Linked DNA regions of Nothobranchius furzeri. The protein of the gene in region 2 interacts with the protein of the main gene of each other region in a pairwise test. Links are inferred from orthologs where the notes say so. Each region holds a gene or a part of one and is shown on either strand. Other genes may lie near its edges. The genes, in order: sfmbt1 and zcchc10.

Region 1 (16,136 bases), on a different chromosome or scaffold from region 2:
AAAGGAGTAAGCAGAAGTATTTACTTATTTGTCCCTACCCCCAATTTTTCCCTCTTATTCATTTAATTTCTTTCAGTCTTAAATTAAACAAACAACATATGAATAAAAAACAAAAAAACAAAACAACATATGAAAAACAGAGAATGTGTAAATTTGCAGATTCCCCAGTTATGGAAAAAAATAAATAAATAACACCGATAAAGAAGCACAACAGCATAACCAGCCACATTACCGCCCTGGGTTAACACTGTTTTCTTCATTCTTTTACTTATTTAAAATTAGGTTTTTATATTTTACTTTAAACTGGTTTAAGTTTTTACTTTCTTTTTATTTCTTCTGTTAGACTGTTCCATAATTTAACTCCTGCAATTGTGATTGACATAGTTTTTAGGGTTGTTCTAGCACTTTGTATTTTTTAATTCCATTTCCCTCTTAAGTTATACCCACCTTGTCTTTCTTTGAACAATAAACAGATTTCTTTTGGAAGCAATTTATTTCTTACTTTATACATTATTTGCGCTGTTTTGAGCTTCACCAAGTCTTGGAATTTAATAGCTTGCATTTGCATGGTCCCTGTACCCTGTAACGGAATGAAATGACTGTTTTCCACCTAAAAGTCATTTTTCCCCTCTCCGCTGACACAGAACTAATCTGCATGAGATACTGCCTCAAGGTCTCATGCATTTGCTCTAAACTGCTTCCTTTCCAGCCCAAGAGAAGAATGAAGAAAAGGACTCTCCTTTTAATAAATCAACAAACTCTATTTTTAATAAGCTAATCAAACAATTGTTAGTCAATAATAAGATGTGACCAATCTGTGAAATCAAAATGTTAATTACTTTATTATAATCCTATAGAATATAATAAGTAATATGACTTTAAATGTTTCCAATAGGACTGATCTCACGTAGCGTTAAGACCCACGTCATCTTTAACGCCAGTTCAAAGCGTTCGAGAGAAGTTGACGGAGTGGCCAATCCGTAAACTCACCTCTTCAGCCGAAAGAACCAACGACAAGCTGGATAAACCTATTGCCGTTCCGCCTGCTGCAACAGTTCCTTTCAGAATAAAAGCTGAACTCACTGACCTTCTGGGTCCATCTGACGCAGTCAACCAACTGTCGCTTTTTACCTGGAGACAATCCAAAGACTAGTCTGCCGTACTGCTGACGCTGTTTCATCGGCTCCGGTACCGAAAGAGGGGTTGGAGGACCTGGCATTCTGGATCTGTACAGAGGTCTCATTCTAAGGGTATGTGTGGAGCGACAACATGGCGTTGCATGTGTTTATGAATCTCCTAATCAAAGCTTAGCTCAAGACATCACCATCATTCCCACCAGAACCCCACATTATTTAGAAGAAGAAGACGAAGAAGAAAATATCATTTCTATAGCGCCTCTCAAGATAAAAATCACGAGGTGCTTCAAAAAAACAAAAAATGTAAAAATATAAAAAAGAATTTAGAAAATGATTAAAACTTTATTTAAAATGAGCAAAAAATAGACAATTGTGATTTTAAAAAGTTAAGAAAGAGAGAGTGAATAGGAAAGAGGGAAATCAGTGGGTCCTGAGAAAGGTGGAATAGGTGGGGAGAGAGGAATAAGGAGAGAGTGGTGAAGAAGGTCATACAAAAGCCACTTTGAACAAGTGAGTCTTCAGCTGCTTTTTAAAGGAGTCCACTGAGTCCACTGATCTCAGGCTCAGGGGGAGAGAGTTCCAGAGTCTGGGGTCCACAGCAGCAAATGATCTGTCACCTTTGGTCTTTAGCCTGGTGCTGCACAACCAGTAGGCTTTGATCGCTGGACCTCAGGGACCTGCTGGGGGTGTAGGGACTAAGAAGATCACCAATGTAAGATGGTGCTTGTCCATGTAAGGCCCTATAGACCAGAACCAGGATCTTGAAATGAACCCTGAAGTTGACTGGCAGCCAATGAAGCTGGAGGAGAAGCGGGGTGATGTGGGTGTGTTTGGAGGAGTTGGTCAGAAGCCGAGCACAGGCGTTCTGAACCACCTGTAGACGGTTCAGGGAGCTTCTACCCAGACACGTGAAAAGAGAGTTACAGTAGTCTAAGCGTGAGGAGATGAAGGTGTGGATAACTGTCTCAAGTTCAGAGCGGGACAGAATGGGACTCAGCTTAGCAATGTTTCTGAGATGGAAGAAGGAATAGCGAACAAGAGAACTGACATGAGAATCCAGGGTGAGAGCTGGGTCAAAGGTCACACCAAGATTCCTGACGGAAGGTTTGGTGTGAGAAGCAAGCTGACCAAGAGAGTCTCTTACTTTGGGAAACAGCTTGTCCAGGGCACAGATGAGGATCTCAGTCTTATCTTCATTCAGCTGTAGAAAGCTCCCAGCCATCCAGGTTTTGATAGAGTCTAAGCAGCGCTCAAAAAGATAAGAGGAGAACCACTCCAGAGCAGATCCTGATAGGCCTACCCAGTCTCTCAGCCTCTCCAGTAGCAGGTGATGGTCAACAGTGACAAAAGCTGCAGTCAGGTCCAGCAGGACCAGAACAGAACAGTCCCCTGCATCACTGTGAGTCAGAAGGTCATTAGAGACCCTAAGAAGAGCTGTTTCAGTAGAATGAGCTCTACGAAAACCTGACTGTTAGCAGTCACAGATGTTATGTTCATGTGAGCTGTTTAGCCACAACCTTTTCCAAGATCTTGGAGATGAATGGAAGTTTAGAGATGGGTCTGAAGCTGCTATGGAGAGAGGTGTCAAGACTCGGTTTTTAAGAAGCGGGTGGATTACAGCATTCTTAAAGTAAGCAGGGACCTGGCCAGAAACCAGAGAAGCATTAATTATAGAGAGCACGCTGGGACCGATGGACTGAAAAGCACTTTTAAACAAAGATGAGGGTAAGATGTCGAGGGGGCATGCAGAGGTCTTCATAGAGTTAACTAGTTTGGTTAACTCAGGCAAAGAAACAGGAGCAAAGCTATCTAGGATGATGGGCCTGGTTGGAGCCGGGAGAGGCAGCGATAAGGCTGAAGGAGAGATGCTCGATCTAACCTTACTGACTTTGTCCACAAAGGAAGACAAAGTTCTCACAGTCTGCAACAGAGTGGATGGAGGCTGTAGGAGAGGCAAGAGAGACAATGCTGCTGATGGTGTTAAACAGCACCTTGGGGTTCCCTTTGCTCTGGGACACCAGGCTGGAGAAATAGGAAACCCTCGTGTATCTGACTGCAGAGTTAAAGGATGTCAGAAGATCCTTTAGGTGCAGCAGATGGACGTGGAGATGGGTTTTCTTCCACAAGCGTCTCACCTTTATGTTAATATTGTTTTATTTGATGCACTCCACTTTGAACTGCACCAATCCAGCAACTGCTATATTTTAATAACTAGTATTAAAGGTGAATACACCAATATTTGCACAAGAATAATTTCTGTTTTAAACTCTCAGTGACACACTTTGCAGGGGGATTTGGCATTTAATTTTTCTTGGCGTCTGGAAAAACATCTCCTTCTGCCCCCCTTTATTTGACTTTCTGCCCCCTTTATTTTGGCCCAAGATCATTACTGGGCTGGCCCTATTAAAAATGTTCTACACCCCCTGCTTAGTAGACTTAATGAAGTATTTTTAAGCCAGTATAAAAATGACTGAAACACAAATTTACATATTTGGCATTATTGACCAATATCTTTTATTTAATTTATTTGTTAAGAACATCAAGATGCATTACAGTGAACATTATAATAAAGTAAATGTTTCTAGTGCAGAGTGGAGACAACCCATAGAAGCACTGATTTGATCTCATTTCAGAGAAAAATAGAACAGGTCAGATGCACCTAATAAATAAAATTACTAACAAACTCAGGAATCTGTTTCTTTGCTTCATTGTTCTGGTGCTGAAAATTTCACTAATGCGGATCAAAGGACATACACAGATGAATGCACCTCTTATTATTTGGAAATTAGTGGGTGTGGTTTACATCAATACATTATTTTAAATCTGAAATTGATACGGATTGATCAGAAGTTGTTTATTTATAAACTATTGTTTATTTGAAAACTATTTACAGAGCAGCCTCAGAATTGAGATGAAATATTTTTGATCACAATAGTAACTATTACAGAACAAGTTTCAGTAAAATCAGAACATTATTATTTAAGTGCATGAATTAATGCATCTGAACTCATGCTGTAGGAACTAGGAAATATGAAATACTAGAACCAGACACAACTTTTTATTTTAATTTGATTAAACAGATTTTTTTCCTAACGTTGTTGGCATTTTTCCCACACACAGTTAAACAAAACAATGTTGATTAAGGTGTGTGTGTGTGAGAGAGAGAGTTAAAATAATTTTAAAAACCCGACCGGAGCGGAGGCAGTGACCGACACATGCACGAGCCGTTTTCAGCTCTGTCTTGTCAAATGCACCATGTAAATTACGAAAAAGGTAACTTTAAATATTGAACTGAAAAACAGGCAAGCTGAAGAAAACGTAGGGAGTACTGAAGAAATGTGAGAGACAGTGAAGCAAGCACAGAGAGATCCGTTACTGTGTGTGTGTACGCGTGGATGCCTGGGCCGAACTGACTGAGCTCCCGGAGGGGCGGGCGCTCTATGACTGGCCAATCACAGAGCATGAAGACAGTCAGTTATCCAATGAGGATTTTCCTTCACCACGATTACAGATGTTTACGAGTTTTACACTCGTTTCATGCTCGTATTCGTCAATAACGCTTCATCCGTACGCTCATCCCTAGCTGCAACCACCCTGCCCTGCCTCCTCCTCCTTGCTGCCTGCCGGCTGTGATCACAAGCAACAACAGAGTAGTTCCCGCTGCTTCTTCGGGAAATGGCGCAAAAAAAAAAATCAATAAATCTTGGGATCTTGTAGGCGTGGCGGTGGGATTTCAGCCGTGGCGGGCCGCCACGGCTACGCCTATGTAAGGGAAACACTGCTAACTGAAACAAGATGGAAAAAATATATCAGTCCAGTTTTACTTATCAGACCATATTGATATGTTCAAAAATGATTGGCCAATACCAATATTGATGCTGAAATATCGTGCATCCCTAGCCAGATGGTGGTTCTTTCCTCCTGATGGATGGATTCAAAGTTCGCCGACCTTACAGCCCTTTTTCCTCTGCTTCAATCAATTTGGTGATCCTGGATATACAAACCCTAAAATAACCTTCTGCCCTGCTCGAAAATAAGCGCTTTCTTGGCATCAAAACACATCTTTAAATTCACGGATATTAGGGCTGCAACAACGAATCGATGAATTCGATGAAAATCGATTACTAAAAGCGTTGGCAACGAATTGCGTCATCGATTCGTTGTGTCGCACAACTCTTCCAAAAGCGCCCCCCCCATCCCCCACCCCCTTCCCGCCCGCCGTTGCACGCAGACCAGAGCAAGTCAGATCAGCGCGAGGGAGAGCCGCAGATCAGCGCGAGGGAGAGCCGGTACCAGCAGATCAGCGCGAGGGAGAGCCTGCAGACTTGCGCTGCTGCGAACCGGTTCCGCATTGTTGCACAGCGATCCAGGCAGCTGCTTCCAGCGCACGGTCCATTCTCAAAGTGGCGCAACCAAAAAACTATAATTAGCACACGATCGTTCTTGTCTGCACATGTTCTCTATTTTCTGTCTTATTTGTGCCTGAAGCGCTCTGCTGCGGAGCTCATCACCTGTGCTGTGGTGATTTCACCTCACGCAGCATCGAAAACGAGCTCTCCGCTTTGCGGTCAGGAGATCTCTTTGATCTGCTCAAAAGTAACTGATGAGGTGAAAAAGTAAGAATCCAGGCAACAGATTTTCTGGAGAATTATGAGGAGATGCAGGAAGATGAGAGACAGACAGGACAGGAAAATAGTTAAATAAAAACAAGAAAACAAAGTAAAATGTAGGTAGATTTATCTCCACTACACGTTTTTACCAGTAAAAAACAATAAGTTATACACATGTCATATTTATACATCTGATACAATTCAGATCACCTTCAAAACTCAGTCACACACCCAGGGCCGTTTCAAGACATTTTGGGGGCCAAGGCAAAATGTCCCCCCCCCCCCCATAACTGGGCTCCCCAGAAGCCTCTGTGTAATTCATACCCTCTCCAGTAGTGTTAGTTATACAGTGTTTGTAAAAGCCCCTCAGACATTACTGACATGTTCTAATATATCAGATGAAAAACTAAATTATCAGACATGCTGTCTCATCTGCTTCTTTTCTAAACTTGCAAAAAGTAACAAAACCATTTGAAAGCCACTATTTGTGGATTATCTGAAAGTTTCCATGGAGTGTGTGACAACTTATTTTTTTCATTGATCCTATCGTCTAATCTCACAGCTGAAACAAGCATCCTTAATAATCTGTGCACAGGAAGCTTACCGATGCTGTAGTAAAACAAAAGGTATAATAATTTATTATTAATAAAACCTTGTTGCAGCACTAAAGCATAAAAATGAGCTTTTGCATTAAATATGCAAAATATTTACATATGAATTGTTTTAGAGCCCTTTTATTGGCAGAATCTGATATTAATTTAGTTCTTACAAAAAATGGGTCCCAACATGGTTTGTGTGGTGTTGCCATAGTGTGACGTCATAGGCACAGATCCCCTGTCCTCTTGTTTGGAAATGGAAATATGATCACCCTACATTAAACAAACTGTCCACCCGGGCTTTTGCGCTGCACAGAGACGCTTCGCTGCCTATGACTCTGAACGTCAGTTGAGAGTCAGTCTCATGCAGACTGACCAATGAAGAGAGGGCCTCAAGTTAAGACCCTCTCCTCATTGGTCAGTCCACACGAGGTGGGTCAAAGGTTACCCTGGGCGGGTTACGTGTTGTCAGGCATTCAAGTATTGAGTATATTTACTGCATATTACAGTAAAATATTCTGTATGTGACCACATTATGGTGATCCTCGGGTCGTGATGATGGAGCCCTTGAATATTGTTGCCCAGGGTACAACAAAGTGTTAATCAGGACCTGGTTCCGCCGTCACATTCCCGCAGAAACTGGTTGATCACACCGGGGCCAGACTACTAGCATGTGGTTTTACAACCACAATGTCCTCGGAAGCAAAAACGCTTTTAAAAGGGAGGGAGGAGTCCTAACTGTTGCTGCAGGCGTGTTGTGTGAGAGTGCAGTTATATACTGGTTAATATATTTTTGGGTTCAGTTGCTTTCATGTGGCCTAATGTGAGTCTATTTGGGATCATTGGAATGATCAACAGCATTTCTTGATGTGACTTTATGGCAGTTGCCCAGGGCATCATTGCAAGGAGGATGGCATTCATTTACTTTTGTTTTATTTGGTATTTTTTCAGTCATTTTTGGAAATAGTGATCAATTTTGATTAATTCACAGCCTATGTTTAATTACATTTAAAATAAATGTCAACAGATGAGATCAAACAAAACAGATGAGAATTGCCCTTAAGCTGTTTAACTTGGACCAAGCATTTTAGGTCACAGATAGATGTAGCTTAGGGTCTCTGTCTATACACCTTATAAGACAATTTAGGTGATGGCATGTTGTTTTTCTGCTATTGAACTGTTTTCTAATAATGTTGTGTTAAATAAAGTGAAGGAAGGAGAGAAATAACGTTTCCCTAGCAGTTTTTAAAAATTTCCCCATGTAATCCGATTAATCGATTAATCGTGTCGAGACCCCATCCGATTAATCGATTATCCAAATAATCGTTTGTTGCAGCCCTAACGGATATCATATTTATCTATGACACATAACAAACGGGATTAGAAAATTGTGTTTTTAGCCTTTTTAACTTGCATTCATTTTTCCTTCTTCCAGGGGAACCATGGTCTGGAAGTAGATGGCTTAGGCTCCCGATACGGCTCTACTTAAAAATGCAGCATCTAGGCTAATTCTCTGTTTCATTAACAAACATTTTTGTTTATTATAAAACAACTCAACTCTGACACCTGCTGATAGGGATGTAAGAAAATATCGATACAGAAATATTAAGATATATTTGGCTATGATACAGAATTTAGTTTTTTTTAGCTATGATACTGAATTTAGTTTTATTTTATATGTAAGCATGTACTGTATTTCTTTAATAGGGTGAATTTCATAATTTCTAGGTGGCAGCAGATTTTACCATTTTCATTCAGACGCAACAATGGGATAACACCAGATGTGTCTTGAGTTTTCCAATTAAATTCGGTCTTAAAAATTGCACATATATATACACACTGCATCATCTCCACTGTATTTTGATATTAAACAAATTACCAGATTCTTGCCAATACACACCCCTACAGGCTACCATAACAGTTTTTCTTTGTTTTATTAAATGTTGTTGCTCACTACAAAAAAACTAAAGTCTGCCACCTGCTGATGTAAACTGTTAACTGAAGTCACCTAAAATTTTTGATCTCTGGAAATTTTGAACTTTACATAATCAGAAGTTTTTTTGCTTTCAAACCAACTCTACCTGTTATTATAGTCTATATTTGTGAATGTATAAAAAATACATTAAAAAGTATGAGAGTGGAAAACTGCCAAAGCAATCAAAGTCCATGATAAACAATGGTGCTCTGCAGAAATCACATGCTCTTATTGTGATGAGCCACATCATGTGATTTTGCATCTAAAGAAGTAAAATAAAAGCAGCATTCCCCAATTTGCTGAGTTATTTTACCATTATTAATCAAGTAGCCCTATGCTCTGTTTAGACTTGCTCAGAAATTAAATTCATGTGTTTCCAAAAAATTTACATAAAATTCAAGCAAGTTTAAAGGTTGAGTCATTTAAAAGAGAAATGAGACAATAAAGTAATAAACACCCTCTCAGCTCATAGGAAGATTTAAATAACTTCCTCCGCTGCATTAATGTGAACACTGAAAATGTTTGAAAGATCAAATCAAATAAGATCCGTCTCAGTGGATCATGGTGATTCACCCCATTAACACACACACACACACACACACACACACACACACACACACACACACACACACACACACACACACACACACTTGTATTTATATGTTCGTGTGGACATCAATTCATTTCCCATTAATTGTGCCTAACCATAAACAGTGGGGTTCTATTCCTAACCCTAACCAAAAGTTAATTCACACCATACCAGTTTAAGGGTGCAGCATTGTGCGGACCAGCAAGATTTCCCCACAATGTGGAAATGTCCACGTTACTGGTTTGTTAAGATTTGTCCACTTAAACATATGAAGACAAGTACACACACAGACACCTTTAAAAGAGAAGTCAGTGAATTGCTCCGTGCACTTGCAGGTCGCTGCTGCCGCCTCTGCGCAGCGGAACGTCAACCCGAGCAGCGCGCGGAGCAGTCAGTGGTCGGATCACTCAAGTTGCACAATAGGGAAGTTAAAGAAGGGCCAGATGAATAAAAAAGCTGCATCGAGTCAACGCGGGGGAAACATGGCAACTGATTAAACCCGGCAAAGCATCGTCAGCTTGATAAACACCTGAGTTTTGTGAGTGTTTAGTGGCGTTTATGTGAACGCTGCTGACTGACAAACACATCGGATGAGGTCGTGCAACCTTCATTATGTAAGGCTTCGGCATGGTGAAAAAACACTGAGTTGTTCAAGGATAAATAACTGGAAATTTCCACACAATCCTTGAACTGTGTCTGGTTAAAGATTGCGCTGCATTCACACACACATTCACGCAGAGGGAGAGAGAGAGAAAGAGAGATGGGCCATGAAAGGCTTTGCAGAGACACTACAGCGCTAACTTTCACAATGAGCACAACGCCGAATTAAAAATGTCCCCTAGCGAATAAAAACCACTAACATTAGCCTGCGAGGGACATGCACGACTGTTTGGACACATGGCTGGACCGCCTGTGTCCGAGTCAAGTTACTGAACGTCACGGCTTGAGCAATAAGGAGCAAAGCTGTGGCGAGCAATAAGGGCGCTTACACTAGACCGAAGCAGACTCATCTTTTTGAGAGACGGGAAAAAAGACGAACGCGACGCAACGGTGCAAAACACCGCGAGGAATTCCTACCAAACACCACAAAGTACGTGAATATTTAGTCACAAAATTCCAACCTTACCGCTAAGTAGTTTTTACAAGTCGATTTTTGATGCCGTTCCTCTCCGCCTGCTCGCTCGCAGAAACTGTCAATCATTAGGTAAATGCCTAACTTCCGGGTTGACATTTCAAAATAAGACGCATACGCGGCCACGGCTTTCGTGAAAGTAAAGCATGGGGCTTTTATCGCGAAAGGGTTTAATCGCAGCTTTTCCGGATTGGCTCCAGCGGCGTCATGTTAGCTTGACGCACTTTTCTTTCGCGACCTCATTCCAATATGGCACAAGTGTCCACTGCGCATGTTCTGCCGCCTGTATGCCTCTGAGCCTGGCTTCATCATCATACTGACTTCCATTTACAACACACACACACACACACACACACACACACACACACACACACACACACACACACACACACACACACACAATTTAATACGAAAACATAAAAGAAAACAAAGAGGCTGATGGTTTAGCTGATGATTTATTCACACATCCTGGGTTGTTTTTTTAATATCCTCTCTTGAATCAAGAGATAGTTAATGGTTTATTAAAAGCAGATAATCGACTCATTTTCTTACTAGTGGCGTTTTGACCAGTAAAACCAACGCAGAGGTTGTTTAAAAATAGCAAGTTGCTTTATTCCCATTTTTTCAAGAACATCTTGAGAAGGAAAAAGAAACAGTAGAGGTGTGTTTTAAATGAAGACTTACTTTAAAAAGAAAATGTTACATCACAATGACGCCCGATTTTAGCGACCAAAAGCACATTTTGTCATCATCGCTCAAGGTGCTGCACATCATGTCACCGGTTTCCTCTCCCTTCTGGACGGGAGGGCGGGAGAAACTGCTGGAAATGTGCTCTGACAGTGTGAGCGCAGTGCTCAAAGTCCACGTAAAATACCCGAGTCCTCCATCAAATAAGTGTCTTTCTGGTGTGTAAAAATCCTCTCTTATAGCATCTGAAAGCCGAAGCACTCATTCCGACCGGATGAAGGCTGCTGCCGCCAATAATCCTCCTCCCTTTTGCCCGTTCTGACAAAAGAAAACCCCATTTCTGAACATGGGCAGGTCGAAACAAACAAAGAAGTGCTGAGCCAACCCGAAACAGGTTTTTCATACGATGTTGCGCGAGACACTCAAATGGCAATTAATATAAAAAAATGTGAATTTAACAACAGTTTGTTCAATGGAATTATTGCAAAGCCGTAAAAATGGCGAGGATTCAAATTAGAAAATTGGGAAGCATTTAAACCACGTGTTTTACCTAAAATGTTGATTATAAAGCATTCTACACATTTAAAACAGATCGACTTTGATGTCGCATCGGGTAGAACTGCATTTCTGCATGAAATACGAACAAATGCCTTAAACACATGTTTGTGCTCGAGTGTAACCAGTTTCTCGTTTTTTCCCCTCCAAACATCCCATCAGTGAAAGAGGTTCAGCTGCAGAGGAAGAGGACAAGTCAGAAGGCGTGCGTGCGCTTGCACGAGACAAGGAAGATGCATTTTATGACCTTGACCACTAGGTGGTAACACACCACCACAACTATTTCAATTTGAGCTATAATTCAACAAACATAAAAACTGAGTGTAAAATATAAAATCTGCTTAAATACCAAAACATTTCATTGTATCTACAAACCCTTACAAACATCAGTTGTACTGAGTTTACAAGCACATTTATTCAGTTATTTGTAAAAGACAAATAGTAAAAAATAAAAAAGTATACCCATAACTTACAGACAATATTAATTTTCTGTATTCATCTTTGATTTTCATGAATTCTGGCATTAACTACTGTAACATACATGACATAATACAATCAGTTTGTACAATGAAAATGCCCCTCCAAGTATAAATGATTAATGCCCCACACTTGTATAGCGCCTCTCAGAGTAAGGACTTCAAAGAGCTTTACACTACAGTGCATCATTCATCCATTTACACACATTCACACACTGATAGTGATGAGCTACGATGTAGCCACAGCAGCCCAGGGGCACACTGACAGAGACGAATATATATATGTATATGTATATATATATATATATATATATATATATATATATATATATATATATATATATATATGAGATATCCTTCATCACATTCAAGTGTAGTATTTAACAAGCCAATTCTCCTTCCAACAGTCTGATGGGAGAATGAATAGAAACATGCTTCAGCTTAACACAGATTATTGGACAAAGTTGGTGAACTGGAGTTGAATGCACAATTCCACATCTGGTGGCTGATTTCTCTTACTTTTACACCACCAAGGCCCCAGATTCAACAGATTCAGATTTCTCTTAAAACATCTTGATATTCTAATAAACTTTAAGTTCATGATTCTTGAAAATAAAAATGCAGATAGATTTGTTATTGATAGCATGGATTAGTACTTGGCAATAACGAGTTCACAGACTGACAAACTATTGGATTTTATATTACTGCTCATGATGCATTTGCAAGCCAAAAGAAAACGAGAATAAGACTTTATTTCCAACAGCAGATTTTTGGTGCATTTCTAACTTAGCAATTAAAATATTACATGAACACATTTCTAAAACTCTACACAGAGGAATGCACTTTTCAGTAAAAGTACCACAATTTAAATACTTTCACTCAAAGTGGATTTAAAATTCACCTTTATGTTATTCTACAATGGCTGGACCATTCTTCAACTGACTACGTTACTGGCTACAAGAGAATAATTTGCATCTAAAAAGTATCCATACACACACACCCCTATGCTTTGTAAAAGCAAGTGGCACCACACTGTGCACAAAGGCACACACTAGAGAGAGGACAGAGTCAGAGTGTACCATTTGTGCCTTAGCTTACATGTGTGATGCTTGGTTTTTACAGCAGTATCGTCTGACAAATAAAAAGGTTTCACACTTGTGCCGGTGTATTAAAATCTTATGATACAGTTAACTGAATGATTCATACAGAGCCAAAAGAGTGCTCATACGGGGAAAAATGATGAAAAGTATCCAAAAATAAGCTAAATACATTGTTTATTGTCCTCCCTGCAGCATTAATAGATTCTCTTACCTCTCAGAAGCTTTATTCCGCTTCACCTGTTTGGTCTGGTCGCTGAGACAAGACCATCTCTTGAATTTTCAGCAAACTTCTTGGCATAATTTTATCGTCTTCTAACCCAGAAAGTGTGCTAAAGTCAGGCTCAAAGCCAGTCGACCCTTCACCAAATAAAAATGAAAACAGAATAAAATAAGAGTCTATTTAAATGTGCCGAGTGAAAACTGTGTTTCAGCTTTTTTTTCAATTGCTGATCATGTTTTCCAGTTTGGGGTTGATGAAGGAAAAGCCTTTGAATGCATTCTGGTCCATAGTGTCAATGAGCTTTTTGTCTCCGAAGGAGAGGCGAGGCTTCTCATTGAGGAACTCGCGGTCAAAATTGCTGCAGTCCCCTGGGGATTTCTGTAAGCAGTTGAGGGAATTCAGTTAGTTGAATGTTTCTCACTAAAGTTGTGATGCAGTCAGATAAAAACATACCACTTTGGGCTTGAAAGGAGGATTCACTTGTCTCTTCTCCAGCAATGTCCAGTTGATGACTTTGAAGAAGGGATGCTCGCGGATGTTACCCACTACACCCAGCCTTTTGCTGGGCTCTCGTATAAACAACTGACAAGACGACAGAAGAAAACAGAATTATTTACAAGAACAGTTCAAAGTCTCTAATGCTTGAAATATGACTACAACTCGAAATTTCACCTGTTCAAGCAGGTTTTTGGACTCCTTGTTGAGCCACCGAGGGTAATCTGGGTTGTCTGTCCTGATGGCTTCGAACAGCTCATCCTCATCATCACCTTGAAATGGTGACTGACCAACCAGCATCTCAAAAACTAGCACACCGAATGACCACCAGTCCACTGAGAACGAGTACTTCTGTCCAAGCAAGATCTGAGAAAACAGTTCCTAAAAGTCAGAGGTGTGTAAAACAGAAAAACAAGAAACCCAGAGGAACCCTTTGTTCTGAATTAGCGATGCACATGCATGTAGGAATACTGGCAAAGGCTCCAAATACAGCAAGAATCAAAGACGACAATAACCAGACTGTCAGACGTACCTCTGGGGCAATGTAGTCTGGTGTCCCACAAAATGTACTGGCTTTTTCTGTTGCAGTGATCTTCTCTTTGCACATGCCAAAATCAGCTATTTTAATGTGTCCATCTTTGTCCAGCATTATGTTGTCCAGCTTCAAATCTCTGAAAAGACAAAGAAAACTCATTTAAAAGATTAAAATAAAATGAAGTTGCAGCCTATTGCACTAGTTGAGCACTGCCTATTACCTGTAGATGACTCCCTTGGAGTGGAGGAACTGTAAACCCACGATTATCTCAGCAGCGTAGAAGCTAAAGGTAGAATGAAAACAGATAAAACAGATTTACTCAACACAACTCATTTGTGGAAAAGAACTGCTCCCTGTGTACTCACGTAGCTCTGGCCACTTCGAAGCGGCCTTTCTCTTGAATGTGAAACATCAAGTCGCCTCCATTTAAGTACTCCATTACAAAGAAGAGGTGCTCCTGTGGAAACAAGATACGACTGTCAAGACACAAACCAGACATGAATGCATTCACATCCAGTGGGAAGGTAAGGGTCTGACTATTTATCAAACAGAAGGGAAATTTCTTCCTCCCTGCTGATAGTTTATTCCCCGTTAGAGAAAATCAAGAGAAATAGAAACAGTGATGTGTTTTATCAGCAGACAGTTTAGTGCAGACATTCTAACTTAATTCATTAGTTTATTTAACAGCCTCAAAATGTACAGGTTACCAAACATCCAGCAATCTTAATACAAGTAATTAAATTCTGGCAGATGACTATAATTAGTTTATAATTGGTAATAATTTGCAGTCAGAACTTAAAGTAGCATCTGAATCTTTGCTTCTACTAATTAATTTACACCAATTAATCTAATCAATAATGATGATAACAATAACAACACATTTGCTCTCTCTTAATCCAAGGATGCTTAAGCATTGCTATGAAAAAAGAAAGTTCAGGAATTCTAATTTAAATGAATTGCAGAGACTTTTAAAGAACATGGGTTCCATTTTTAATAAAATTTAATTTACTGTACATCATTTACAGACTAAAGTCTCATTGGTAAATGGCCTGTTACCTTCTAGGATTCTACAACCCCCCAAGGCACATAACACAATTAGTCATTCATCCACGCGCACACATTCATGCACTGGTGGCATTGAACTAACGTAGCTACAGCTACCTTGGGGCACACTGACAGAAGCGAGGTTGCCAAACACAGGCGTCACCGGTCCCTCCGACCACCACCAGCAGGCAAGGTGAGTTAAGCGTCCTGCCCAAGTGTACAATGACAGTGACGGACCAAGCGGGGCTCAAGCCTGCAAACCCTCTGATTACACTTAACTGTTTTGGTACCGTTGCCCCATTCATATATAACGAAGATGATGTTTGTGCAGTTTGGCTACACGTCCATGCCTGATAATAAGGGAGAAACATTATGTCCCTATGCTGCAAACACAGGTCCCCCACAAACTTAGGAGTGGTCAGGCATGTAAATACCAAACAGCATTCAGCGGGCTAATGGCAGACAACAATCTGCCCTTGTGAATTTTATTTGTATAAGAAGCAACAGAATTGTTATAAAAGTCAGTCTAAGGCAGTCATTAGATCCAAGGTAACGGTATTTGTTGGTTTCCATTTTAAGCTACACTCATGTCAAGTTAATCAAACACAAAACAGCCTTGATTTGTTCAAAGTTAATCGAAATGATTAATCCTGCTCAGTTTAATACAGTTGTGCACAGCACTGTTACCAGAAGCGTATTTTCTGTGTCCGCTTACTTTAGACTGGAATGTGGAGTAAAGGTGGGTGAGGAAAGGGTTCTCCCAAGCCAGAGACAGGACTCTCTTCTCCACCAAAGTGCACTCAACATCATCATCCATAAGAACCACATCCTTCTTCAGAACCTTCACAGCAAAGAACTGTCCCTTCCCCTTCAGCTCTGCCAGCATTACCTGGGGATGTCAGATGCAATATTGTGAGGAACACAAGAGAGCATATCAGCAGGACCACCTGACAATGATGATGAAAAGGATCAGAATTAGAGTTCTC
Region 2 (16,227 bases):
ATCGCTAGCATAGCAGTTTGGCCAGTTACATCGATATAAAGTCATCTTATATCTTGTTTAAAAATTATACCGATATTTAAAGAATCGCCCAGCCCTAACACACACATATATATATACACACACACACACACACACACATATATATATACACACACACACACACACACACATATATATATACACACACACACACACACATATATATATATATATATATATATATATATATATATATATATATATATATATATATATATATATATGCCCCCCTGCCACCTGTCTTTCCCCGACCCCTCCGGCTCCAATTCCCGCAGATTACACCCCCGGGCCTGAATCGATCACCAGCGGAGTTTTCACCCCACTCCCCCCGGCACGGTGGAGCGAAGGATCAGACCCGGTTCGAGCTGCTCGAGCCCCCCCGCCAAACCTCTTTCCCCGACCCTGGACACGTGGAACATCGGACAAGGTAAGGGCTGGATGGGCTGGATGGGCTGCTTGTGTAACCGCGTTGTCGCTGACAGACTCCCTGTTGCTGCGCGCTGAAGCCACACTTTCCATCTCACTAGAAGACCGCAGATCATCCTCGGAAATATTCTTCCTCCGAATCCAAATCTGCCAGTACTAGACGAAGAGCTTCGTTAGCACTGAACATTCCACTCGGCATTGTTTTTCCCTCTACCACTCGCTCACTCTCACTTGATCTGACAACCCCCGCGAATCTGCGACTGGTGGGCGGGGTTCAAGCTCTAAATACTCCAAAAGTTTGAATAGTAACACACCCACAAATGCTGCCTGGATTGAAGTTACAGGTGTCTGCCACCCCGCTGTGTAACGTATTAAGTGCATGAGGGCTCATTTCTGCTGCTGTGGCTTATTAAATCCAACGTTGCTGCTTGTCGCAATTCTGCGACTTTGGCGCTTAAAGGGTTAACCTTACCATGCACATTACAGCTTGTATATGGAACCTCAAAATACATAACTGCACTCTCCATAACTGACATGCAACCTCGAGGGAGAAAAACACCACTAATCGGAAAATGTCCAATCAGCTAAAAAATAATATATTGTCCAATACATTCCTTTACAACTGATGAGACATCTCACTCCTCCAACATATGGCTATCACACCATTTCTAAAGCAAGAACAAGGTTTTTCACAGTAGCCCTATGAAATGAAAAGGCCTTAATGAGTTTCACCTTCACAGGACCATTCAGCCACATGAGAGCTTAACTCTCGTCGCAGAGAACAAAAGCAGAACAGATGTGTGAGGTCAGGACACAATGAGTGGCAATAGTTTCTGCTGTGTGAGCAACAGAACAGAGAGTTAAAGAAAAGAGTGGCTGATGTCCGTTAAGTTTTGGACTAATTAAACTGGCAGACTCTGGAATGAGCACTTCAAGCAACCTACTCATGACAAGCTGTTCTTTGAAAATATTCGATAACAAACCGACATACCTTTAGCTACTGACTCAGTTCACTTTTTCTGCCTGTAGGAATGTCGATTCTGAAAAGACTTGCTATGTTTTCTTTTATTTCTCTATCAATTGAGCTCAGTATTCAGAAAGACTGAAAATTGTTTAAAAAAAGGCTAAACAGCGATGTTTTGTTAACTCAGGTATGATTTTCTGAATCATTGGCAGGTAATTCAGACACAGGATTGCTCCTGAAATATCCCGCCTGCAAAGTGGCGCTGTAGGACGACTGCATTGTACATTAGCCGAGTCAAGGCCAAAGACAACAAACTCTCAGCTCTGTCTGAAATAAATGAGTCACCAGAACATCTTGACAGAGCATTTGCCCTGTGCCTCGACAACCAGGGAAATAGTTAAACTAAAGCCTCTAGGTAAAACCCTAAACAGGAAGTGAAGCGGATTCCAGCAGCGAGCTGCGTCACTGGGAGCACAGTTACACATTACTAATGTTGTTTACGTTAGTTGTTTGTTTTCTCTGTATTCATATAAACAAAAAACTGACATCTGGGAGCAACCAAAACAAGTTTGTTCATTTGTCAGCACACAGCAATCGGTGGCTACCCTAATGCAAACTATTCCACCCAGACATCACTCAGTCCAGCGTTTCAACTCTCAACAACACCAGCGAGCCGTTTGTACAAATGGCTTATGTTACCTAAAACTTTAAGTTAAAGAGAAAACCTGATGCTGATGTTTTAATCTTGGGAAAGGCTTTTTCTAAAGCAAGGAGACCCTTCCAGAAAGCTTTGCCCTGCATTAGAAAATGCTAAACAAACACTTCTAATTTTGTACTCACATTTACCTCGATGCTTTTTTCTTTCTACTTAGACTGGTATTTTCAGTTTATTTTATCTACCTGCAATTAAGTTTCTTCAATTAGACGACTAGGCCAGTAGCCTTTAGCTATAGTCTCTTCTCAAGGTCAAGCATTTTCTCTAGTTTAATCATGTCAACTTTAATGTAAAACACTCTACAAAAGACACATTAAGAATACACTGCATGATCAAACCACAGGCTCTATGTACCACCAGTGCCAGTTTACAGCTGACTGACAGAGGTCAGTGACCTTAGGGCCACCCCAGAGCTCTCATTAATATAACCTGAACATGTAATCATCTTTAACTCTTCAGAGGAATACTAAATGACTTATGGTGCATTTTCTGGCCCTTCCCCCAACTATGACATGTAAAATGGCTTCCTAAAAAACCCATCATCATCAACCTTTTGATAGACTTTGGTGCACCTTTAAACTATTTGTTTGTCACTTTACAAGAGCCTTACGCTCTCATGGGTTGTGGACTGGCTACACTGTGGTATGTGAAGTAAACAAGTGTACTGCTAGTATGGTTTAGTTTATCCTGTGTATATTTTGCAACGTTTGTTTCACACTACATAACAGATTGTTTATTTCTACAGCAAACTTACCACCAGTGATCTCGTTGTATGTTACATAACATCGTATTTGTTTGAGTATTATCTGTTTTTAAGTGGTGTCAGCCACGTTTCTGAGTTTATATCAGATGTCAGAACATCCCAGGAACAAAAACAAATTCACCCCTAGTGCGAGGCTTTTCGCAGGTTTAGTAAACGTGCACGGACTAAAGGTGACACAAATGTCACCAATATAAAAAACGTTTCCCAGCTCCAGAACTCCTAAAAGACACAAAGTCCAACCGTGTATTCAAAATATTTAGCATGAGGCTAATGTGCTTCCTTAGGACTACCTGCATCTCACCGTTAGCGTCTACATGCTAGGCTAGTTAGCTTCGGAAGCTTATAATTTTGCGGAAATTTTAAATAACACTGACTGTAATGTACAACAACCATGAGGTCAACAAGTAACGTTGTTTTCTGACAGCGAGCATTCTCACCTCTTGTCTTCTTTTAGGCCCAAACCATTCTAGCTGTTGGAAAGCTCTTTTTCTCTTTGTCTTTTTCCACTTCCAGTTCAACGCAGAAAATGGACTCGGCGAAACGCTGTTAACAGTTAAAATGCTAAAACTAAAAAGATGCGCCTCATATTTTCTTTGAAACGCGACAGCACATCGAGTGGAAAACAAAGCAAACCATTTTATCTCTCGCGAATTGTATTACTCTTCAATACAAGTGGCTGATAGCTAAGTTACGCAGCCCGCAGGTACTACAGACAGCAAGAGGAGCCGCCTTCGCGTGCTGATGGAAAAATGTCAAACCTAAGAACTGAACGTGTAGTTAGTGTGTAGTATTCTTACAAAAAACCTAAGGACCCCGAGTAAGTACCTCTAGCAACAACAACAATATCAACATTAGTAATAATAATAAGAGGTTACGCCATTTACGTAAAGAAAACCGATTTTTTTAAATATGCTTTTTGTAATGTTAAAATAATTAAGATCGTATTAAAGAATGAAGGTGTTCATACTAAATAAAAATGTATAGCTTTTTAGTGAAATGTGTATTAATTAAAAAATAAACAGAAATTACCAGTAGTGTATGGAGAGCTCTTGAATTCCTACTACAGTGAACGCAACATTTCAGTGACGCAAGGTTGCCCGTGTTTGACGTACAGGAGAAAACCGAGCACGTTTTATTGTTCCCAGCTTGTTTATTGATAGATTGTCTTTTAACCGAACAATTTTACTGCATTATGTTTTATTTTAAGATTAAAAATACGAGTAAAAAATGAGTTTTTTCCAAAACACAGTTTTGCGATGCTCAATTTCTGTACTTCTCCGGGCAGCAAAGCCCCAGTCATTTTAACATCATAATCCCTTCGTTCATTTCTGATTAGTTGGATTTCATTTCAGATTAGTTGGATTAAATGACAAGACAATTTTCTGACGCCTCACCTTTTAAAGGAACAGTTTATGTTGATCACCATAGGCGGAAATATTTTTGATCAACCAAACACAGACGGACCTCAGCAACCTACCCATCTGTTTCTAAACTTTACTTCTAGTCTTTTTAAAAATGGAGACATTAAACTGCAGCCTGGAGATCAGCTGGCATGATCTGATATTATTTCATTTCATTTATAAATCCCAAATTTGACAAGCTGTCAAAAATCTAAAGGCCCTGATAAGTACAAATTAGTTTATTTAAAATGAAATAACTTTACAGGAACAAACTTTACAGGAACAATATTTCCCCTTTCTTTACCAGCTGTTACATACATTTGTGATTATATGGATTAGCTTAAATATACATTAAAGTATTCGAACAATTGCATTGGTTCTATTTGTTTTTTAAAAGTTTCCTCTTTAATTGCAAATACTTTAAGAAACTTGAGAAAATGCCACAGTCAACAAAACAGAGACAAGAAGTTAGAAAAACAGAACAACACAGCTTAAACCAGCCTCTTGTTCATCTGCCATCGTTGTCCAACTAAATCAAACCTTATAAACCAGCTGAAAAAAATAAAACACTTGAGGACTTTTTGGGGAAAATAACGCAGAAAAATAAGATGCAAACAGAAAGCCAACTCTTCCCAGCATGCTCATTTCTTCTTTCTCTTCTTCTTTGGAGGCCCTTGATCTGAATCGCTGCTGCTTCCCGAGTCTGAGCTGTTTGATGACGAAGAGGTGGAGGAGGAAGATGAGGAGGAGCTGTCGTCGCTGTCGCTGCTGCTATCGTCTGAAGATGAGCTGGAGGAGTCGCTGCTGTCTGACGAGTCGCTGGAGGAGCCGTCGGCATTGCTGCTGTCGTCGCTGGAGTCTTTTGCCCTAAAAGCGCGGCACAAGGAGAGAACAGGATGGGAGCAGTAAAATGTAAACCTGTTTGCAGGGTTGTGTCAGTCAACACTGCGTCGCCTACAGGTTGTGCAGAACAGCGCTGCCAGGTTCCTGACTGGGACCAGGAAACGGGACCACATCAGTCCAGTTCTGGCCTCCCTGCACTGGCTTCCGATTTCCTATCGCTCACAATTCAAAATCCTCGTCTTTGTTTATCATTTCTTCCAGGGTGGTGCTCCCCCCTATCTGGCCACACTCCTGAACAGACATTCCCCATCACGCGCTCTGCGCTCCTCTGACCAAGGCCTGCTTGCTGTCCCTCGGTCTAGGTGTCGTACCCGTGGGGACCGGGCTTTCTCAGTCCTAGCACCGTTACTCTGGAACCAGTTGCCACCCTCAGTTAGGCTGTCCCCCTCTCTGCCAGTCTTTAAGAATCACCTAAAAACACACCTCCTCCACTTGGCGTTTCCAGAACATGTTTGATTATGGCCCTCTATTATGTTGAATCCATTCCACAGTTTTCATTGGTACACTCAATCCATCCACTCAATCCAATTGTGTTTCACACATTTGTATTTTACCGGAATGTTTCATCTATTTTGTTATTTCCATTTTGTATTTTGTAATTTGAATTTCTTTTATTGTTGATTTATTCAGTATAATTACTTACAACTGTACCATGTTCAGCGCTTTGGGCTTCCTGACAGGGTTGCGGAAGGCGCTTTATAAATAAAGCTTTGATTGATTGATTGATTGATACATCTACTGGAATGTTAAACAGGCAGCTGTGGGTGTCATCTTGCACAAACATAGTGACAAAAAGATTTTCACATTCGTAAAATAACAAAAAATGTCTGAAATGTTGGTTCTTTGCAGCTGTCCTGTCTCTGAGATCATATGAGATGATTTTCTGCAAAAGTACATGTTTTCAAACAAATGTATTGGAGATTTAGCAGTAATACCCTTATTTATGTGTCTTCTTTAGCCAATAATAGCTTATTTGAAACACATGTAAACACCAGTTGATGCAACAACAAAAAAAAAGCATTTATTGCAAACACATTAAAATTGAATTTAAGTACTTTTTACTGAACAGTTTTTAACCCTTTAGGCCCAAGGCCTTTTTTCTTTGGGCCCTGGCACCTCCCAGTTGGGGGCCTTTGGAGTTCCATGTCCCAAGTCCCCGAGCACAACTACAGCTACTATCAAAACTGTTTAGATTGTAAACAAAGTAATTTTTGGATTTTGATACATTAAGATAAAATAATACTTGAACTGTATGTTAGAAGAGCTGCCCTGTGTGAAAGTGCTGACAGGATGGAGGTTGTGAGTTCAAATTCCATTTAGGAAATGTTGTCAATTGTTTTATTTATTCCAGGGTCCTCAACTAAATGTGTTCAAGGGTTTTTTCCCAGCAGACACCAGAGAAGGTCAGATGCTCTTCTAAAATAAAGTTCAAAGATCGTTGTATCTTAATTTATTACCATTTAAAATGGCCTTGTTTCCCATCTGGGCTGTTTGATTGTGGTTTTAGTTGTGTTTGGAGAACGTGGACAGTTGTAGATGTTTGGGACATGAAACTGTAGAGGCACCCAATTGGGGGGCGTTAGGGTTAAACAGGCTAAGATACATTTAAATCTTTTTATAATTACTTTTTTAATTGACTTTCCAATTAATCTGTAACAACAATTTAACTGATGGAAAATGTGAAGCTGTTCTACTATCACAGTACAAAAGAAACAAGAATCAAATGTAAATTCACTAAGAGTCTTGTCTAAAAACAGACAATAACCAAGAAAATGGTTTCACTTCTCATCAACTGCCACTAGATGGAACTGTTAAGTCACAATTCTGTTTAAAGTGGTACAAGTTGAGAAATATGAACATAAGAATTAAAATATCATCTTTATGAATAAAAAAATCTTTTACATCCAAAAATGAATGACTAGAAATGACCACACCACAGCTATGAAACTTCTTTAAAATATTTCAATATAGTAAATTATAGGGATGTAAGAAAATATCGATATGACAATATATTGTGATATTTTTTCCTGCAATATTGTATCGATCTTTAAAAGCCACATGGAATTTACATGCAAACATTTGTGTATTTTCTTTTCTTTTGGTGCAATTCAAACGCCGACCACTAGGTAGCAGCAGTGTGCAATGGGTTTTGTTTCCACCATTGAAATATAAATCCCTTTCTCTATTCCACCTTCCTCAGGATGCACTGATTTCCCTCTTTCCTATTCACTCTCTCTCTCTTTCTTAACATTTTTTTTAATCACAATTGTCTATTTTTTGCTCATTTTAAATATATTTTTAACCATTTTCTAAATTATTTTTTATATTTTTACATTTTTTGTTTTTGTGAAGCGCCTCGTGATTTTTATCTTGAGAGGCGCTATAGAAATGATATTTTCTTCTTCTTTATAAGATACCTTATATTGAACATGTTACATTTCAGTTTGGACTGGACTGAGTTTCCCTACAATAAATTCTGTCAAAAAAAAATGCTAATATCATCTGGCTGAATGTATCACAATATATTGTGATATATCGAATTTGTCTCCCCTGTATCTTGATACGTATCGTATTATCAGAGTTTCACCAATACACATCCCTAGTAAATTATCAGATTACTTACTTCTTTTTTGTTTTCTTTTCACTGGAAGCTTCTCCTCCAGGTCTGTGATGTGGAAAAATCACAACATTATATATAGTTCAGTCACTATTGATAAAATCATTTGTTTGTATTTTTATGTATTTTAGTTAAACAAATTCAACTTCTATTTGAGATCATTTGAAACACTGTCAAAATTTAAGAATTATTTATAAATCTAATTTCACTGTAAAAACTGAGTTCTCAGTTATAATTATCATTTTTTGTGGGTTTATTTATGCACAGTTAGGCTGGGCGATCTAGCCTAAAATCAATATCACGATATATTGAGGATTTCACCTTGGTATGCGCAGAAACAAAAGTTGTCCATAAATGGGGCTGTCACATGTATTACGTTGAATCAAATTTTTAAGTCACTCAAGGTTGCACAGCTTCTTAAAGGGACATGGATTTTGCCAACCTACACACATCTTTTCATTTTTTTATTATCAAATTTAATGACATGGGAACATTTATCGATAAGAGTCAGAAATTTCAATAACGATACATTTTCGATTTATTGCCCAACCCTACATGAAGTCCAGGTGTAAATGACTTGTCCTTCAAACTGTCAGAGATGACTCACCCTGTGATGCTGAGAGGTTTGTTTTCTATCTCCTTCAGCTTCTTTTTCATTTCGGTTGTTCTTGACGGTCGGTGCAAATATTTCCGTTTCCCAGTGCACTCGTAAGTCCAGTGTCCCATCTCCAAGCACTTCTGACAACGCACATTTTGTTTGTTTGCCTCCCTGTAAGCAATAAAAATAAATAAATACCTTCCAAACAGGAAAAAATACATAAACTACAGAAGTAAGACATTTGCACATACATGTATTTGTTGTCAGATTACTTAAAATTAATAATGAATGGAACAAATGATTCCAGTATAAATTATGAAAAAAATGATGGCTGCCGTAGTTTAACTCCACCAGCAGGTGTCACTATAAGCAATGAATGATGCATCGAAGACGTGAACCTCTGGGCAAAGAAAATAGTTGAGAAGCTACACGAAGCTTTATGTAGCCATCTCATAATTAATACACTAGTAATGAATACTTCATTTTAAACTCAGAAACTCGCAGGTGTTCCACCAAAGAAACTGAAACCCCACCAATAATCACAAATTATCAAAACTCTGCCCAAGTCCCGATTCTTCTCAATACTTTGATCCGACTATTGGTTATAACTATATTGACATTAACATCGATGTAAACAAAATTATTTTTTACTTAAACTGGGGTATTATAAAAATAAATAACAGCTTCAGAAGAGTACAGTTTCACACAACGTAGCGCTTCGTAGAGCCGCGGGATGCCCGTCCCTCCAAGTTCGTTCTTTACAGGCTGAATGTAAAACTGTAGGTCAGCTATAGACCGCACGTGGTAACGTAACAAATGTAGACACAAAATATACTAAAATAATATTGCTACGCTAAGTTTAAAAATGTTTTACTCACGCTTGTCTTCTCGCTATTATTCTATGCATGGGAGTCGCCATGTTTGAAGTCTCTTCTTCGTTGGTGTCAGCTCAGGGCCTATTTCCGGAAATGTAAAGGAGTGAAAAGAATACGTAACCACCCGTGTCGTCGCCATTTTGGATGGGTCTCTTCATTCTCCGAAGGCAATGCAGAGTACGCAACTATGCCCGTTTTTGTGCATCCCACGGTTACAACAACCCGCGTACAATTGTAAATAGATCATGTGGGATTACTATAGTGACTTTTCTAGCCTACCTGATAGGATTTTAGATTTGTATTTGTTTATTTATTTTGTTTAATTACACTGACAGACACACTGACAGAGGCAGACTCGCCTCTGGTAGTGTGCCGAATGGAGACTAAGATGGCAGCCGGCCACTTCGGCAGCTCCAATAGGCAGCGCCATCCCATGAGGTGTCTACGTATTTACTCTTTGTATGGGGTGACACTGGCACAGGAGTTAAGTGCTCGTCCCATAATCGGAAGGTTGCAGGTTCAAGCCCCACTCAGTCTGTCGCTGTTGTTGTGTCCATGGGCAAGATACTTAACCCCCCTTGCTTGCTGATGGTGGTCGGATGGACCAGTAGCGCCAGCGCTCGACAGCCTCGCCTCTGTCAGTGTACCCCAGGGCAGCTGTGGCTAGAATGTAGCTCATCGACCAGACCAGGGTGAGCATGACTGTGTTGTAAAGCACTGTTACGTCCCCGACAGGAGGTGTTAAAATGTGAAGGAAGGGGAACACAAGAAACATGATAGTGGGTTTAAAATGGGTTTAATTGTTATAAAAGGTTCTAAAAACAAGTGCAAACAGATGGTGAGCATTGTTTAAAAAATGCCAAACAAAAAAAAAACTCTCAAAAAGGTTAACACTAAAAGACCAATTACCAACATTAAAAACACCTGGTTAAAACTTATATTAAAAGTTTTACTGAACAGAAAGTGTTTCCAAAATCTTCAAGTTGATAGTAAAATCTGACACACTAGAAAAACACTGAGTGTTTTAAAATCCCAAAGTCAGTAAACTACAACGTTAACCTTAAAACCAAGTCAACCAAGTTGACATCAAACAAAGATCCCTTTGGATCACTCAGAGTTAAAACTATTAAAATTAAGACTCATCAAAATGAAGGGGTTGAAACCAAAATGAGGCATGAATAACAGCTTAGCCCCTGCACTGCTGCCTCCCAGACTGCTGAAGGCACGGCCTTTTTATCCCAGGTGTAGGTCACCAGATGATTTAGCTCAGCTGTGCTCCTCAGCAGCCTGGAAGAAAGGAGGAAGAGGGGCGGTGCCTGGCTGATCACCGAGGCTGGGTGATCCTGGCTCCTGCACCTGAAGAGGCCAGGCTGGTGGCCACAACAAGCTCCTTGGGAGGTTCCAGGACTCTAGAAGGTGCTATGTCAAATACAGGCCATTTACCATTTTACTTTGGTGCCTGTCACTATTTAACAGGCACTCAACCCGTTAGAGAATGCTCGACTTTCAATTTGTTTAAAGGCAAATGTTAAAAACTGGTTATGGACAAATCAAGTGTGTGATCATGTACGAGTTGTATAGTTTTGATGTTTTATTTGTGAATAGAATGGCGTAGGTTTGGTGATGGAGTTTTGATTATGAATGAATGATGAATTTTCATGAATCATTATGTCTTTTTATGTCTAAGGACAACAGATGGAAATTAGCCTTTGGCTATAATCTGGCATGTTTACATTCATGTAAGCTGCATTTACATTTATGTTCATTAACATGCACTGTCCTAAATAAATAAATAAAGAGCACTTTTCCTGGTATGTGTGGGGGGTGTCTGCTCTGTTTCCTCGATCCTCAGTGAGTCGTGGCGGATGGCAATTCCTACTGAGCCAGGATCCTCTGGAAGTTTTTCTTGTTAAAAGGGAGTTTTCCACTGTCGCTACTTGCTTAGTATGAGGATTGCTGTAAAGTCACTGACACCAGTCAGTGACTCCATGCAATTTGCTAGGTTCCTTATATAGGAAACTTTTTACTGATTGGCTTAATGAACTGAACCGCTTTAGAATGTTTACTTTGTGAAGTGCCTTGAGACGACTCTTCTTGTAATTTGATGCCATATAAATAAACTGAATTAAACACAATTTAATTGACTTCATCATTTAGGACTTGGTCCTGATGATGGATCTACAGATGTTCTTTGGTGACTCTTATTTACATGCGTGCAGACATGATGCTGGTGTGATGCTGGCACGATGCACACACAGCGTTATGTAACTGATCACATGAGTCAATGGTGTTTCATGTTGAGTCATAGATGGAGACAGGGTTTAAATGTGAAGCAAAATGTTTTATCCATGAGTGCTGAAATATTGTAATTTGAGTCTACATCTGGCCTACAGAGTCACCAAGGCAACATCTGGTGCAACACCCATGAAAGAGATACAGGCTGGGTAAGTTGTTGTTTCTATAGAAGCTAAACAGAGAAAACAAAGTTGAATGGCATATAGCTTTAAATGCAAATGTAGAGGGAGATGTGCGTTCAGTTTTTCTCCCAGAAGTCTAGGTCTGAAGGGATGAGTCAGAATAACTGTGACTAACAGACCTATTTTTGTTCTGGACAGCATCTGCATCATGAATGAAAGCTGGTTCTACAAGAGAATCCTGAGATCTGCTCTGCTTCCCAATTCACTTAATTCCACTTTAATGTCAAAACTGTTTCTTCACATCCCTGGCGCAAACAACAACACAAGTAATGATATAATGACAAAAAACATATGAAGTTAAAAGAAGACAGAATACCTAGTGGTATTGGTGCAAGCAGCAATGGGGAAAAGCCTCCAGTTGTGCAAGTTCTCCCAGTTAAAAAGATGAGTGGCCTGTAATTTTCATCATAGGTATACCTCAACCATGAGAGACAAAATGAGAAAAATATCCAGAAATTCACATTGTCTGATTTTTACAGAATTTAAATGAAAATAATTGTGGAAAATTACTGTTTGGTTTCCTACAAACAAGCAAGATTTCTGACTCTCACAGATCTGAAGGCTCCTTGTCCTCCACGCGTTACCTGTATTAATGGCACCTGTTGGAACTCGTTATCAGTATAATGGCGCTTACACATTAGCGTTGGCATGGTCGGGGTTTGGTCGGGCTGGATGGCATGAGTTCGGTCTCGAACAGGTGGTGTAGTGTTAAGGAAATCAGAGGGACTTCTCAGGAATGCGGAAATCCCCGAGCCTGTGTGCGGCGCTTAATATGCTCCATAAGGTAAACAAAAGGTGGGCATGAGCCGTGTTCCTTTTGTAGACTCTGAACCACATTATTTTATTAATTTGCTGTGTGTGTCCTCATAATCTTGTGCCACACACACACACACACACACACACACACACACACACACACACACACACACACACACACACACACACACACCAATTTCTCCCCTGAGCAGCTGTCTGCTCGCCAGGGCAAGAGCTCCGATGCGGAGAACAGGCACACACACAGAGCTATTCTCTTCTGCCGTTCCCACACTTAAAGGCAGCTCCGGAACGGCAGCTTCATGCTACAGACAGATGTTTACTCAACAGCATCCAGCATGAGAATGTTTGGGTCTGTTTTTCTGCAAAGAGACCAAGATGACTGATCCATGTAAAGGACATGGGGCCATTTATGATCAGATTTTGAGTGAAAACCTCCTTCAATCAGCAAGGGCATTGAAGCTGGGTTTTTAAAACATCATAAAGATCATAAACACACTGCTTAGGTTACAAGGGAGTGGTGTCATAAGAAGCCTTTCAAGGTCCTGAAGTGGCTCATAGTCTCCAGATCTCACCCCTATAGAAAATCTTTGGAGGGAGTTAAAAGTCCGTTTTGCCCAACGTCAGCCCCAAAACATCACTGCTCTAGGGGAGCTCCACAAGGAGAAATGGGCCAAAATACCAGCAACAGTGTGTGGAATCCTTGTGAAGACATACAGAAAACATTTGACCTCTGTCATTGCCAACAAAGGTTGTAAACAAAGTATTAAGATGGACTTTTGCTATTGACCAAATACTTATATTTCACCATAAGTTGCCAATAGATCCAAAACAAATCAGACAATGTGATTTTATAGTTTTTCTTTTCTCATTTTGTTTCTTGTGGTTCAGATATTCTTGTGATGAAAATTACAGGCCTCTCTCATCGTTTTGAGTGGGTGACCATGCACAATTGGAGGCAGACTAAACACTTTTTGCCCTACTTTATACATAAAAGAAGTATAAAAGTTTTAAAAATTGCAATAATAAGACAAAGTACCCAGGAAAACACACAACAGGAATAAATTGTGCTAAATATTCAAAGTAGATCAATTACTTTTCTTACAGAATTGATATTTGAATGCTGATTACTTGGTTACCATGACTACAGTGCATTTGAAGCTGAGTTCCACCCACCAAAAATGCCATCTTTAATATTGACTTAAAAATAAATAAAATATCAATGCCAATAATCATTATAACATTCAAACAAAAAATATTGTTTGAAAGATTTAAATTAATGAGCTTTTTTATTTTAAAAAATCCAAAAAGCTACAGGTGTCAATGCAACAAAATTCCCCAAGAGGACGATAAAGATCAAAAGTAAATAAACAAAATAAAATAATAAAAAAAGAACGAATAAATATATAGGTAAATAAAAAAGGGTCAAAAGTGACAATCCAACTATTAATAAAGAATAATTTTTATTCATGCATGTGTAAAAATGCCTCAATTTAATTAATTAATTAATTAAAAAGGCCTGCCATTTAATTAACATATTAATTATGCACACATTTAATTGATCATAATGAAATCATTATGCTAATTTAGAGTGGCACAGCATAAAAATTTGAAACCTTTCAATGTTTTTTGCTAAATATTTCATCATCGTAAGGCGAACTGCTTAGAAAAATATTAGCACACCTCACATGGCAAAGCCGCTCGTTTTGATATATAATTAGTGGGGTGCACGCAGCCGATCGAGTTGCATTAATGTCCATTGAATAATAATAATGGCAACAAGGTCACCTGATACAAGTGGGCGGAGCCTAGAGTTGTCTCCTTCTTCTTGATTAGTTGTTATGATGACATATCAAAGGGCGATGACATCATCACTACCACAGACCTATCAGAACCTTTGAGAAGCCAGTTCAGTTGCATTCTGTTGCTTAAGAGTATCACTCCGAAATCAGTTTCTTATCCCTGTTGTGTGATTTAAGAAACAATACTACCCGGAAAAGCTGTTAGTTTAACTTATCGAGACTTAGGGCTTAAACAAAATGTTCTCAAGAATGGAAATGATGAACTCAACATCAAACTTCAAGAAACAAGAGGATTTTAGACAGTGTAATGAAACCATGTTTCTGGGAAAAACATGTTTCCCTAAGCAACTTGAAAGAGAAGACAGATATTGTGAAACACAGGTGCCATATTATCGTGGTATAGAAAGTGATCCAATGCAAGAAAGACCGATTTATTCAGTGGGACAGAATGAGATGTCTAGAAATCTGCAACGAAAATGGAAAAAGGAAACTGATCAACTCAAAGCAGAAAATCATGAGTTGAGAATGTGTCTTGACCAGACCAAGCAGGATATTGAGGTAATGAGAAACCGATTTTCTAGTTTGATGAGCACTTTGAACGGTTATGACAAATTTGTGAGTCAAGTGACGACTGAAAGAAGCCAAAAGATTGTTGACGTTTGTAAGTTGAAAAACGCAGCTGAATCTGGGGCCAATGAAATTCAATGGTTCATAGCCTCTGCTGATGCTAAGCTAGTCAAAAATAAAGACCAGCTCATCTGTGACTTAAGACGACAGCTGCAGTCAGCTATGGGTGAGTTTGATCAAAAACACGCCTGGCCCTACCAGGAAACACGACCGGCTCCGCAATCAGATACAGTCCAGTTTAGTGGCAATTGTATCAGCGCTTTACAGAATGCAGTTATCGACAGTGAAAATAAAATTAGCAGACTAAATGAGCTACTGAAGACATATACAAAAGAAATTGAGCAAAATTTACAGTTCAGTAAAGAGCATAGCACAGCTGCGCAAAAAGACAGAGAACTTTCCACTCTCTTTGAACAGGTGGAAACCCTGAAGACAGAACTGGAAACCACGAAAAACAAAGCACGAGAAACAGAGAAGGAGCTAAAACAAGCTAACGTTTCTGTTGTTGAAAAAGACGAATTGGTCAGTCAGGTTAGGAACAAACTGGGGAACTTTAAAACGGACATTTTTCGTCTACAGTCAGCCTTCGAAGAGTTTTGTAAGTGGAAAAATCAAATTAGAGCTAACAATGACAAGACAGAGACCTGGTTCAGCGTAGTCGAGCACCTTGAGATAAGAATTAAGGACCTCGTTGAAGAAAGTGAGGACATGACCGTGTTTAAACAAAGGACTGCGTACGCGCCCAAACTCCACGAACCTTTGACAGATTTGAGTCACACGAAAGAGAGGACTCTAGAAATGGGGTGTGGAATTAAAAACACAACAAAAATAAATGATGAGGAGGAAATCAAACTGCAGGAATTGAAAGACAAGGAAAGATTCAAAGAGTTGCAGAACTCTGAAGCCGCTCTTCATAAAGAGGTATCAGATCTTCAGGACAAGTGTTCGCAGTACGATGAAAAAATCGCAAGCCTTAGTGGAGACATTGAAAAGGTTGAGCGTGAGAAAATTAGTGCCGAGAGATTTTCTGAGGAGCTGAAGCAGAAAAATCAAGAACTGCAGGCTTTAATTAACTCTTTGAAAGACAGATGCCAAAAACAGAAAGAGAAGAATGAAGGCATGCAAGAATCTCACCTGCAGGAAACAAAGAGACAGCAGCTGGAAATCAAACAGCTAACCGACTCCTTGGAGAAAAAAGAATCCACCATCCAAGAGTGCCAGAACAAACTTGCTCAAACTATGGTGGG

The links.
Region 1: the proteins of zcchc10 (region 2) and sfmbt1 interact in binary tests that used the Homo sapiens proteins (3 or more experiments, as listed by UniProt). The two-hybrid records come from large-scale screens. The link is inferred for Nothobranchius furzeri from reciprocal best matches to the Homo sapiens genes ZCCHC10 and SFMBT1.

The regions. Positions count from the first base shown.
Region 1 is NC_091743.1:58,016,770-58,032,905, reverse strand, and holds the start of sfmbt1 (scm-like with four MBT domains protein 1), read right to left. Parts: upstream 10,125-16,136; 5' UTR 10,033-10,124; intron 1-10,032. Other genes in the region: prkcdb (protein kinase C delta type), read right to left, coding at 13,296-13,454, 13,530-13,658, 13,749-13,937, 14,104-14,242, 14,327-14,389, 14,472-14,563, 15,866-16,039. UniProt on the Homo sapiens protein: Histone-binding protein, which is part of various corepressor complexes. Mediates the recruitment of corepressor complexes to target genes, followed by chromatin compaction and repression of transcription.
Region 2 is NC_091750.1:56,821,110-56,837,336, reverse strand, and holds zcchc10 (zinc finger CCHC domain-containing protein 10), read right to left. Parts: upstream 9,430-16,227; 5' UTR 9,345-9,429; coding exon 9,304-9,344; intron 8,597-9,303; coding exon 8,435-8,596; intron 7,876-8,434; coding exon 7,834-7,875; intron 5,175-7,833; coding exon 4,949-5,174; 3' UTR 4,532-4,948; downstream 1-4,531. Other genes in the region: golgin subfamily A member 6-like protein 25, read left to right, coding at 14,879-16,227.